2 linked regions of the Lonchura striata genome follow. The main gene of each other region encodes a partner of the protein of the gene in region 2 in a complex. Links are inferred from orthologs where the notes say so. Each region holds a gene or a part of one and is shown on either strand. Other genes may lie near its edges. The genes, in order: RPL13A and GAPDH.

Region 1 (3,900 bases), on a different chromosome or scaffold from region 2:
TTAGGGCTTTTCCGCTGTTTTTCTGGACTTTCCCACCCCTGCCAGCATTTTGAAATCCCAATCCCAAATCCTGGGGGGTTCTCCCTGCCTGGCTCTGGACCCTCCCCCCGATTTGGGTGTCCTCCCGAGGGATTTTGGGGCGTTTTCCCCGTTTTCCTCACCATCATCTTCCTCTTCTTGTTGTAGCGGAGCTTGGCCTTCTCCTTCCGCTTCTCCTCCAGGGCCTCGGTCACGTCCCGGTACTTCCAGCCCACCTCGTGTGCCAGCCGGCCCAGAACGGCAAACTGGGAGGCACGGGGGGCTCAGAACCCCAAAACCCCCCCAAATCCCATAAAACCACCCCCAATCCTATAAAACCCCACCAAAACCCCATAAAACCAGCCCAAATCCCATAAAACCCCACCAAAACCCCATAAAACCACCCAAATCCCATAAAACCTGGCCCAATCCCATAAAACCACCCAGAACTGCCCAAAATACCACAAAACTCACCCAAATCTCCCTAATTCTCCACCGAAATCCCATAAAACCCTTAAAATCCCATAAACCCCCTAAAAAAGTCCCAGAAAACCCCCTAAAATCCCTTAAACTTCTTAAAAACCCTCATGAAACCCCCCAAAAATCCCACTACCCCCATTAAAATCCCATACAACCCCTAAAAAACCATATAAAGCTCCCTAAAATCCCATAGACTCCTAAAAAAATCCATTAAAAAACCCTCATAAAACTGCCTAAAACGCTGTAAAATCCACACAACAATCCCATAAAACTCCCAAAATCCCAAAAACTCCTAAAAACCCCCCAAACCCCCTCCCGCACCCACCTTGCGCGTGGGTTTGAGGCGGATGATTTTGAGGGCAGCCGGCACCACCATCCGCTTCCTCTGGAAAACCCAGGAATTTCGGGATTTTTGGGGGTTTTTTTAAGGTTTTTGGGGTTTTATTGGGCAGGTCCCAGGGGTGGGCGGGGCTCCAGGTGTCTCAGATTTGTTTTTTTCTCAGCAGAAATCGAACAATGTAGGTAAAAATGACATCACTGACACCACGGCTCATTTTGGGGGGATTTTAGGGAGATTTGGGGGGGAAATTTGGGGAGTTCTGGAGGGGGAATTTGAAGGACATTTGGGGGATTTTAGAGAGGGAATTTTGGGGAAGATTTCAGGGTTTTGGCAGTGGAAATTTGGAGGGCTCCAGAGAGGGAATTTGGGAATGACTTGGGGATTTCTGGAGTGGCAATTCGGGGGGTTTTGGAGGGAGAATTTTGGGTAAGATTTGGGGGTTTGGGGTTTTCCCACCTTGTCGTAGGGCGGGGGGATACCATCGAACACCTTGAGCCGCTCCAGGGCCGCCTGGCCCCGCTTGGTTTTGTGGGGCAGCATCCCTGAATTTGGGGTGAAAACACAGATTTAGCATCCTTGGATTTGGGGTGAAAGCACTGGGATTAGGGCAATTCCCAGGGCTGATTTTGGGATAATCAGAGAAAAAGGAAAAAAAGAGGAAAAAACCAAAAAAAAAAAAAAAGAGAGTCAGAGAAAAAGAAAAAAAACGGGAAAAAAAAAGGAGAATCAGGGAAAAAGGAAATAAAATCAGAAAAAAAGCGGAGTTTTCACCTCGGACCGTGCGCCAGAAGATCCGACTGGGAGCTCGGAAGTGGAAAGGGCCCCGCGAGGGGTTGGTGTTCATCCTCTTCCTCAGGAATGCCAGGAACTTCACTGCGGGGAAAACGGGGCAAAATCCCTCAGGAACGGCAGAAAACGGGACAAAATCCCTCCGAAATGGCACTTTGGGAACTGGGGAGTGCCAGGATGGGGAAACAGGGGGAAATCCCCCCAAAAACTTCACTGGGGTGGGCAAACAGAGTGAATTCCCTAAATGGGATTTGGGGAATGCGAAAATCCCCCAAAATGGGGGCTGGGGGTGCACCGAGAACCTTCTGGAAACTTCTGCGTGACTCAGGAACGGCGGGACCGACCCTAAAACCCGGGATTGTCCCCAAAACCCGGGATTGTCCCCAAAACCCGGGACTGTCCCCAAAACCTGGCACTGCCCTCAAAATCCGGGATCTCCTTCCATTCCCGGGATTTCTCCCGAACCCGGGATTTCTCCCGAACCCGGGACCCCCGGGCCACTCACGCTTGTTGCGGTAGAAGTTCCCAGAGATGTTGATGCCCTCGCAGCGAACCACGACCACGCGGCGGCCTGCGGAGAGCGCGGCGGGCCCGGTCAGCCCAGCCCGGTGCCCCCGGTACCCCCAGTATCCCCCGGTGCCCCCGCGCTCAGCTGGTAGTGCATGGAGGCAGCTCTCATTGTCGTTAAACTCGACAGCCGACAGCGCTCATCACGGCGCGGGGGGCCCGGTGCCCCGGGATTGTCCCGGGATTCCCCCGGTGTGCCCCGGGAAAGGCTCCCGCACTCACCCAGCAGCACCTGCTTGGCCACGATCGCCGCCAGCCGGCCCAGGAGGTGCCCGCGCCCGTCGATCACCAGAACCTGCGGCGCGGGCGGCACCGGGTGAGGCCCCGCCGCCACCGGGGCCGGGCCGCACCGCGGGGCCGCCACGTGGCCGCGCCCCGCGCTCCCCCCGCCGCCCGCCCGCCGCTCCCCGCAGCCCCCCGCAGCGCCCGGCCCCATCCCAGAGCCCCGCGGAGCCCGGCCGGGCGCCCCTCCCGCCCCGTGCCGCCCCCGTGCCGCCGCGCCGCACCCGCGGCTCCGCCATGGCCGCCGCCCGCTCGCAAAGAGGCCCCGCCCCCCACGCGGGGTCGCCGCTTCCGTCGGGGACAGCGGCGGGCGGAAGTGACGCCACGACGCGAAGAGGGCGCGAAGCCGCGCCGGGATGCGCCACTGAGGGCGGAAGTGGGGCGGGAACGCCCCCGGTGCCCCCAGTCCCTCCCGGTGCTCCCAGTACGCGCAGGACCCGCTCCCCGGCCTCCCAGTGCTGCCCCAGTTCCCCGCCCAGTACCTGCAGTCCCTCCCAGTGCCCCCAGTAACCATCCGAATCCCTCCCAGTGTCCCCAGTACAGCACTCCAGGCTCTCCAGCGGTCGCTCCTTGTATTTATATATGTACAGCGGAGGGGCCCCGGCTCTCGGGGCTCTCGCACCGGGGGTCCCCGGTCGCTCCTGGGGTTCTCGGGGCTCTCAGGGACTCGGACCGGGGTTCCCCGGTGGCTCCCGGGGGTCTCAGGGCTCTCGGGGGGCTCGGACCGGGGGTCCCCGTTGGATCCCGGGGCTCTCGGGGATGGAAGGGGGGTGGGGTCGCCTCTTCGGAGCGCATCCCTGCGGGCGCCCCGCGTCACTCGTGCGGGGTCCCGGGAGCCGGGGTGGTGCCGGTGGCGCCGTAGCTGGCGGGGGGCCCTCCCGGGGGTCCCGGGGGTCCCACTCCTCCTTCCTCCTCCTCCTCCTCCTCGTCGTCCTCGCCGGCCGGCGCCAGCGGCTCCGCCTCCTCGCGCGGCGGCTCCGCCCACGGCTGCGGCTCCCCCGAGGCGAAGGCGCCGTAGAAGGCCACGCCCCCGTAGTGCACGAGCGCAGCGATCAGGAACACCCACTGCCACTCCTCGCGCGTCTGCGCCAATCAGCGCCCGACGCGTCACAGCAGGGCGGGGACACGAATGGGGAGGGGGCGTGGCCAGTGCGGAGCGCGGGAAAGAGGCGCGGCCAAGGGAAGGGCGGGGCCAAGGCGAGTGGGCGGGGCCGAGCACACAGTGAGTGACAGGCGGCCGGAGCGACCCCCAAAATTCCGAGGTCCCCTCCGGTCCCGTGGTGTCCCCCCAGGTGCCATTGTCCCCTGTGTGCCTCGGACCATGTCCCTCTGTCCTCCATGTCCATCTGTCTCCCCCCTGTCCCATTGTCCCCCCACGTCCCTCCATCCCCCGGTGTCCCTCTGTCCCCCCATGTCCCTCCGTC
Region 2 (3,900 bases):
TATGCCAGGATGCCCTTCAGGGGCCCATCAGCAGCAGCCTTCACTACCCTCTTGATGTCATCGTACTTGGCCTGAGGAGACACAGATCCAAGATGATCAGATTCCAACTCACACAAAATGTCCATTGGGGACAGGGAAGGGAGAAGACACACATGGGAACACCCCAGCAGGTGCTCTTTTCACAAAGATTATCTTCAGGACAAGATGGATGCAGAGAGGGCAATTCCAGGTGCAATGCAGAGCTTAGAGGAAGAGGGGCACATCTGCAAGCTGTTAGGACCCCGTCCACAACACTTACTGGTTTTTCCAGACGGCAGGTCAGGTCCACAACAGAGACGTTAGGGGTTGGCACACGGAAAGCCATTCCAGTAAGTTTCCTGTGAGAGACACAAGTCACTAAGGAACAGCATCTGGCACTCCTCTGCCAGTCTAGGAATGTTCTGCCTCCTCCTGACACCTGAGAAGGGACAACACTCACCCATTGAGCTCAGGAATGACTTTTCCCACAGCCTTAGCAGCTCCAGTAGATGCTGGGATAATGTTCTGAGCAGCACCTCTGCCATCCCTCCAGAGTTTCCCAGAGGGCCCATCCACTGTCTTCTGTGTGGCTGTGATGGCATGGACAGTGGTCTGAGGAAAGAGCATAGGATTAAGAACACAGCCAATACTCTCCAGAAAGAGCATCCCAGGTGACACAGACGCTTTTCCCTCTCACGTGAGGGGATCTGTGGTAGGTCACCCTCTTCAGCACCAAGCTGCAGACCTACCATGAGACCCTCCACAATGCCGAAGTTGTCATGGATGACCTTGGCCAAGGGCGCCAGACAGTTAGTAGTGCAGGAAGCATTGCTGGGATAGAGAGATAAAGGCACGTCAGCCAGAGGCAACACTCCTACGGAGGTGAAGTGAGACCCCTGGCAGCTGGCGAGAGCTCCAGGCCAGGAAGCATGCTACTCTCCTTACCTGACAATTTTCAGAGATTTGTCATACTTCTCATGGTTGACACCCATCACGAACATGGGAGCATCAGCAGAGGGGGCAGAGATGATCACACGCTTGGCACCACCCTTCAGGTGAGCCTGGAGAGAGAAAGATAAGAGATTACATAACTCAGGATCCTTCCAAGCTTGCTTCTTCAGATCTCTTCTCCTTCACAGCCCTATCTTGAGCAGCTCTGTAAATGGTGGTGTGCCCGACAGGCAGAAAGCAGCACTATTCCCTTCTCTCCTACACCTCTGTGGCATACTCACCCCGGCCTTCTCCATGGTGGTGAAGACACCAGTAGACTCCACAACATATTCAGCACCAGCATCTGCCCACTTGATGTTGCTGGGGTCACGCCTAAGGAGGGACAAAATTTTACAAGCTGTTCCATGACACAGTTGCTTTCAATCTCCAGAGGAGCAATCAAGAAAGAGATACTTACTCCTGGAAGATGGTGATAGCATTCCCATTGATGACAAGTTTCCCATTCTCAGCCTTGACAGTGCCCCGGAAGTGGCCATGAGTAGAATCATACTTGAACATGTAAACCTAATAAATAGGAGGAGCAGAAGGTCAGGCACCCAGGCTGCCATCATCTTCTAACACCCGGGGAAGCTACGAGAACAGATCCACAGGAGCCCTACTCAGAAAGGCCCAGAGGGGGCACTGCAAAGCAACTCACCATGTAGTTCAGATCAATGAAGGGATCGTTGATGGCCACCACCTGGACTTTGCCAGAGAGGACGGCAGCCCGGGTGACCAGGCGGCCGATGCGGCCAAATCTGGAGAGAGAAAGACACGGGTGAGGAGGTGCAACAGAGAACCAGCCCAGCTGGGCATGGGAGGCAGTCCTTGGCAGCCTTCCCTTGGGATCATCAGCTGCTCCCTGCCCGGCAGGGCGGGAGGGAGCCCTGCAGCTCGTCCAAAGGCCAAGGCACCCCGGTTAAAGATTAAGAACGACCCCCGCCCCAGAAAGGTCAATCGCTAAATTTACAGAGAGCCCCGGGGATCCGGTTACTCCTCGGCCCGGCACGAGAAGGTCACATCCCCGGGGCCGCCATCGACACACGATCCACTGAGAAACCTTTCGGTGGGGGGCTGCAGGGATCCCCGGGAACGGGGAGGGAAACTGGGGCAGCCGAGCAACGGCAGCCCGTTCCGGAGTGAGTCACCCCGAACCCGAGGAGAAATGAGTCAGCAGCACCGCTCGCTGCCCCGGGGGGCGCCGGCCGAGCGGGGCCGGCGGGATCCAGCCTCTCCCCGAATCTTCCCCCCGCGCCCTTGAGGCGACCTTGCCGCTCCACCACAACCCCCCTCGAAATCCCCGCTGGTCCTGTCGGCCGCAGCACTTACCCATTGACTCCGACTTTCACCATCTTTACCGCTTCGGGATGTTCCTGTGGGCAGAAACCAGCAGCGGGGGCGTAAGAGCCGGCACCAGCCGCCCTCGGAGTCGCGCCCTCAGCCGGTGCCGTTAACGCCTCGCCCTCGCTGAGGGGCGAGCGGGCATCGGGGGCCGCGAGGCGAGCGGGGGCTCGCGCGCCGAGCTAGCCCCACCCCCCGCCGCGGGCGACTAACCCACCTGCCCCCCCCGCGACAACTACCCGCCCCCTCCTCCTCCTGCGGCGACCATCTCCCCCTCACACCCCTATCCCTCCTCGCCTCACCGCCCCCCTTCACGCCGCCCCCGCCATTTTGCGCCGCGCCGCCTTTGTGCCCTGGGCCCCGCCGCCACGCGGCCCCGCTCCGCCCGGGGGCTGCCGCACCCCCCGCCGGCGGGCGGGGCGCCCGTGTGGGGAGGGGGCTCCCACACGCCCGCCGCCACCGCTCTCTCCCCCCGCGCATCTCCGCCGCCCCGCCCGTTACCTGCTGCCTCCGAGCCGCCCGGCGCGCAGTGAGGAGGTGGCGCAGCGCCTCTCCGCCGCCCTTTATAGCCGCGTGAGGGTAGGGCGAGGGCCCGCCCCGCCGCGACGCCGTCGAATGGCAGCGCGGGGGCCGGACTGGGCTACGTGCGCCCGTGCCGCGGGTGCGGCTGCCGAAGACTCCCCCTGTTTCCCCCGCCCCGCCGCCCCCCGTTAACAAAGGCCCCGCTCTGGGAATGTAGGGTCCGTAGCGATCACCCTCCCGTCGGGCCACCCCAAGGGGGTTGGTGGTGCAGGTGGCGGTGGTGAAAGATGCACCGGTCCTTGGTCGGAGGTGTCCCCAGAGCGGGGATGGGTGGCTGCACCCCTGCCCGAGGAGGCAGAGAGGGCGATAGCCGGTCAGGGGCTGCTCCCGCCGGGCCCGCTGCTGCTCCGCAGGATGGTGTGCGCTGCTTTCACCTGGTAACAAAGGGCAGGTAGCCACCCGCCCCGGCTGCAGCCTGTGCCCAATTGGATGGAGTAGTATCCAGTATCCGAAGGGACCTACAGGGAAGCCGGAGAGGGACTCTTCGTCAGCAGCTTTAGTGTTGGGAAAAGGAGTAATGGGTACAAATTGAAAGGGATGAAATTTAGGATGGATATTACGAAGAAGTTCTTTACTGTGAGTGTGATGAGGTACTGTAACACGTTGCCCAGGGAGGCTGTAGATGCCCCAACCATGGCACTGTTCCAAGCCAGGCTGGGTAAGGCCTTCAGCAACCTGCTCTAGTGGGAGGCGTCCGTGCACGTGGCACGGGGGTTGGAACTGGATAATCTTTAAGGTCCCTTCCAACCCCTTAACACTCCATGATTCTATGGCTGCACGGGTAAAGGGACTGCAGGGATGCTCGGGTCATCCCGAGGGAGCGGCGGATCTCCAGGCTGTCCCCCACTCCCCCCGGCACGGGAGGTACAGTCTGGGAGTTCTCCCGCCTCCAGGCTGCGACCTTCCCCGGGTGGGCTTATCCAGGCGCGCTCTGGACGGGGCCCCTGGCCGGGCGCTGCCCCAGCAGGC

What was found.
Region 1: GAPDH (region 2) and RPL13A share a complex: the UniProt entries of both Homo sapiens proteins name them as parts of the GAIT complex. The link is inferred for Lonchura striata from reciprocal best matches to the Homo sapiens genes GAPDH and RPL13A.

Annotation. Positions count from the first base shown.
Region 1 is NC_134640.1:2,921,819-2,925,718, forward strand, and holds the start of RPL13A (large ribosomal subunit protein uL13), read right to left. Parts: upstream 2,765-3,900; 5' UTR 2,716-2,764; coding exon 2,701-2,715; intron 2,490-2,700; coding exon 2,417-2,489; intron 2,349-2,416; exon of another isoform or gene 2,270-2,348; intron 2,199-2,269; coding exon 2,133-2,198; intron 1,712-2,132; coding exon 1,610-1,711; intron 1,381-1,609; coding exon 1,295-1,380; intron 1,045-1,294; exon of another isoform or gene 974-1,044; intron 884-973; coding exon 824-883; intron 285-823; coding exon 162-284; intron 1-161. Other genes in the region: SLC17A7 (vesicular glutamate transporter 1), read right to left, coding at 3,290-3,559. UniProt on the Homo sapiens protein: Associated with ribosomes but is not required for canonical ribosome function and has extra-ribosomal functions.
Region 2 is NC_134604.1:29,417,124-29,421,023, reverse strand, and holds the start of GAPDH (glyceraldehyde-3-phosphate dehydrogenase), read right to left. Parts: upstream 2,941-3,900; 5' UTR 2,851-2,940; intron 2,382-2,850; 5' UTR 2,361-2,381; coding exon 2,338-2,360; intron 1,767-2,337; coding exon 1,667-1,766; intron 1,534-1,666; coding exon 1,427-1,533; intron 1,342-1,426; coding exon 1,251-1,341; intron 1,080-1,250; coding exon 964-1,079; intron 850-963; coding exon 768-849; intron 631-767; coding exon 479-630; intron 378-478; coding exon 299-377; intron 72-298; coding exon 1-71. UniProt on the Homo sapiens protein: Has both glyceraldehyde-3-phosphate dehydrogenase and nitrosylase activities, thereby playing a role in glycolysis and nuclear functions, respectively.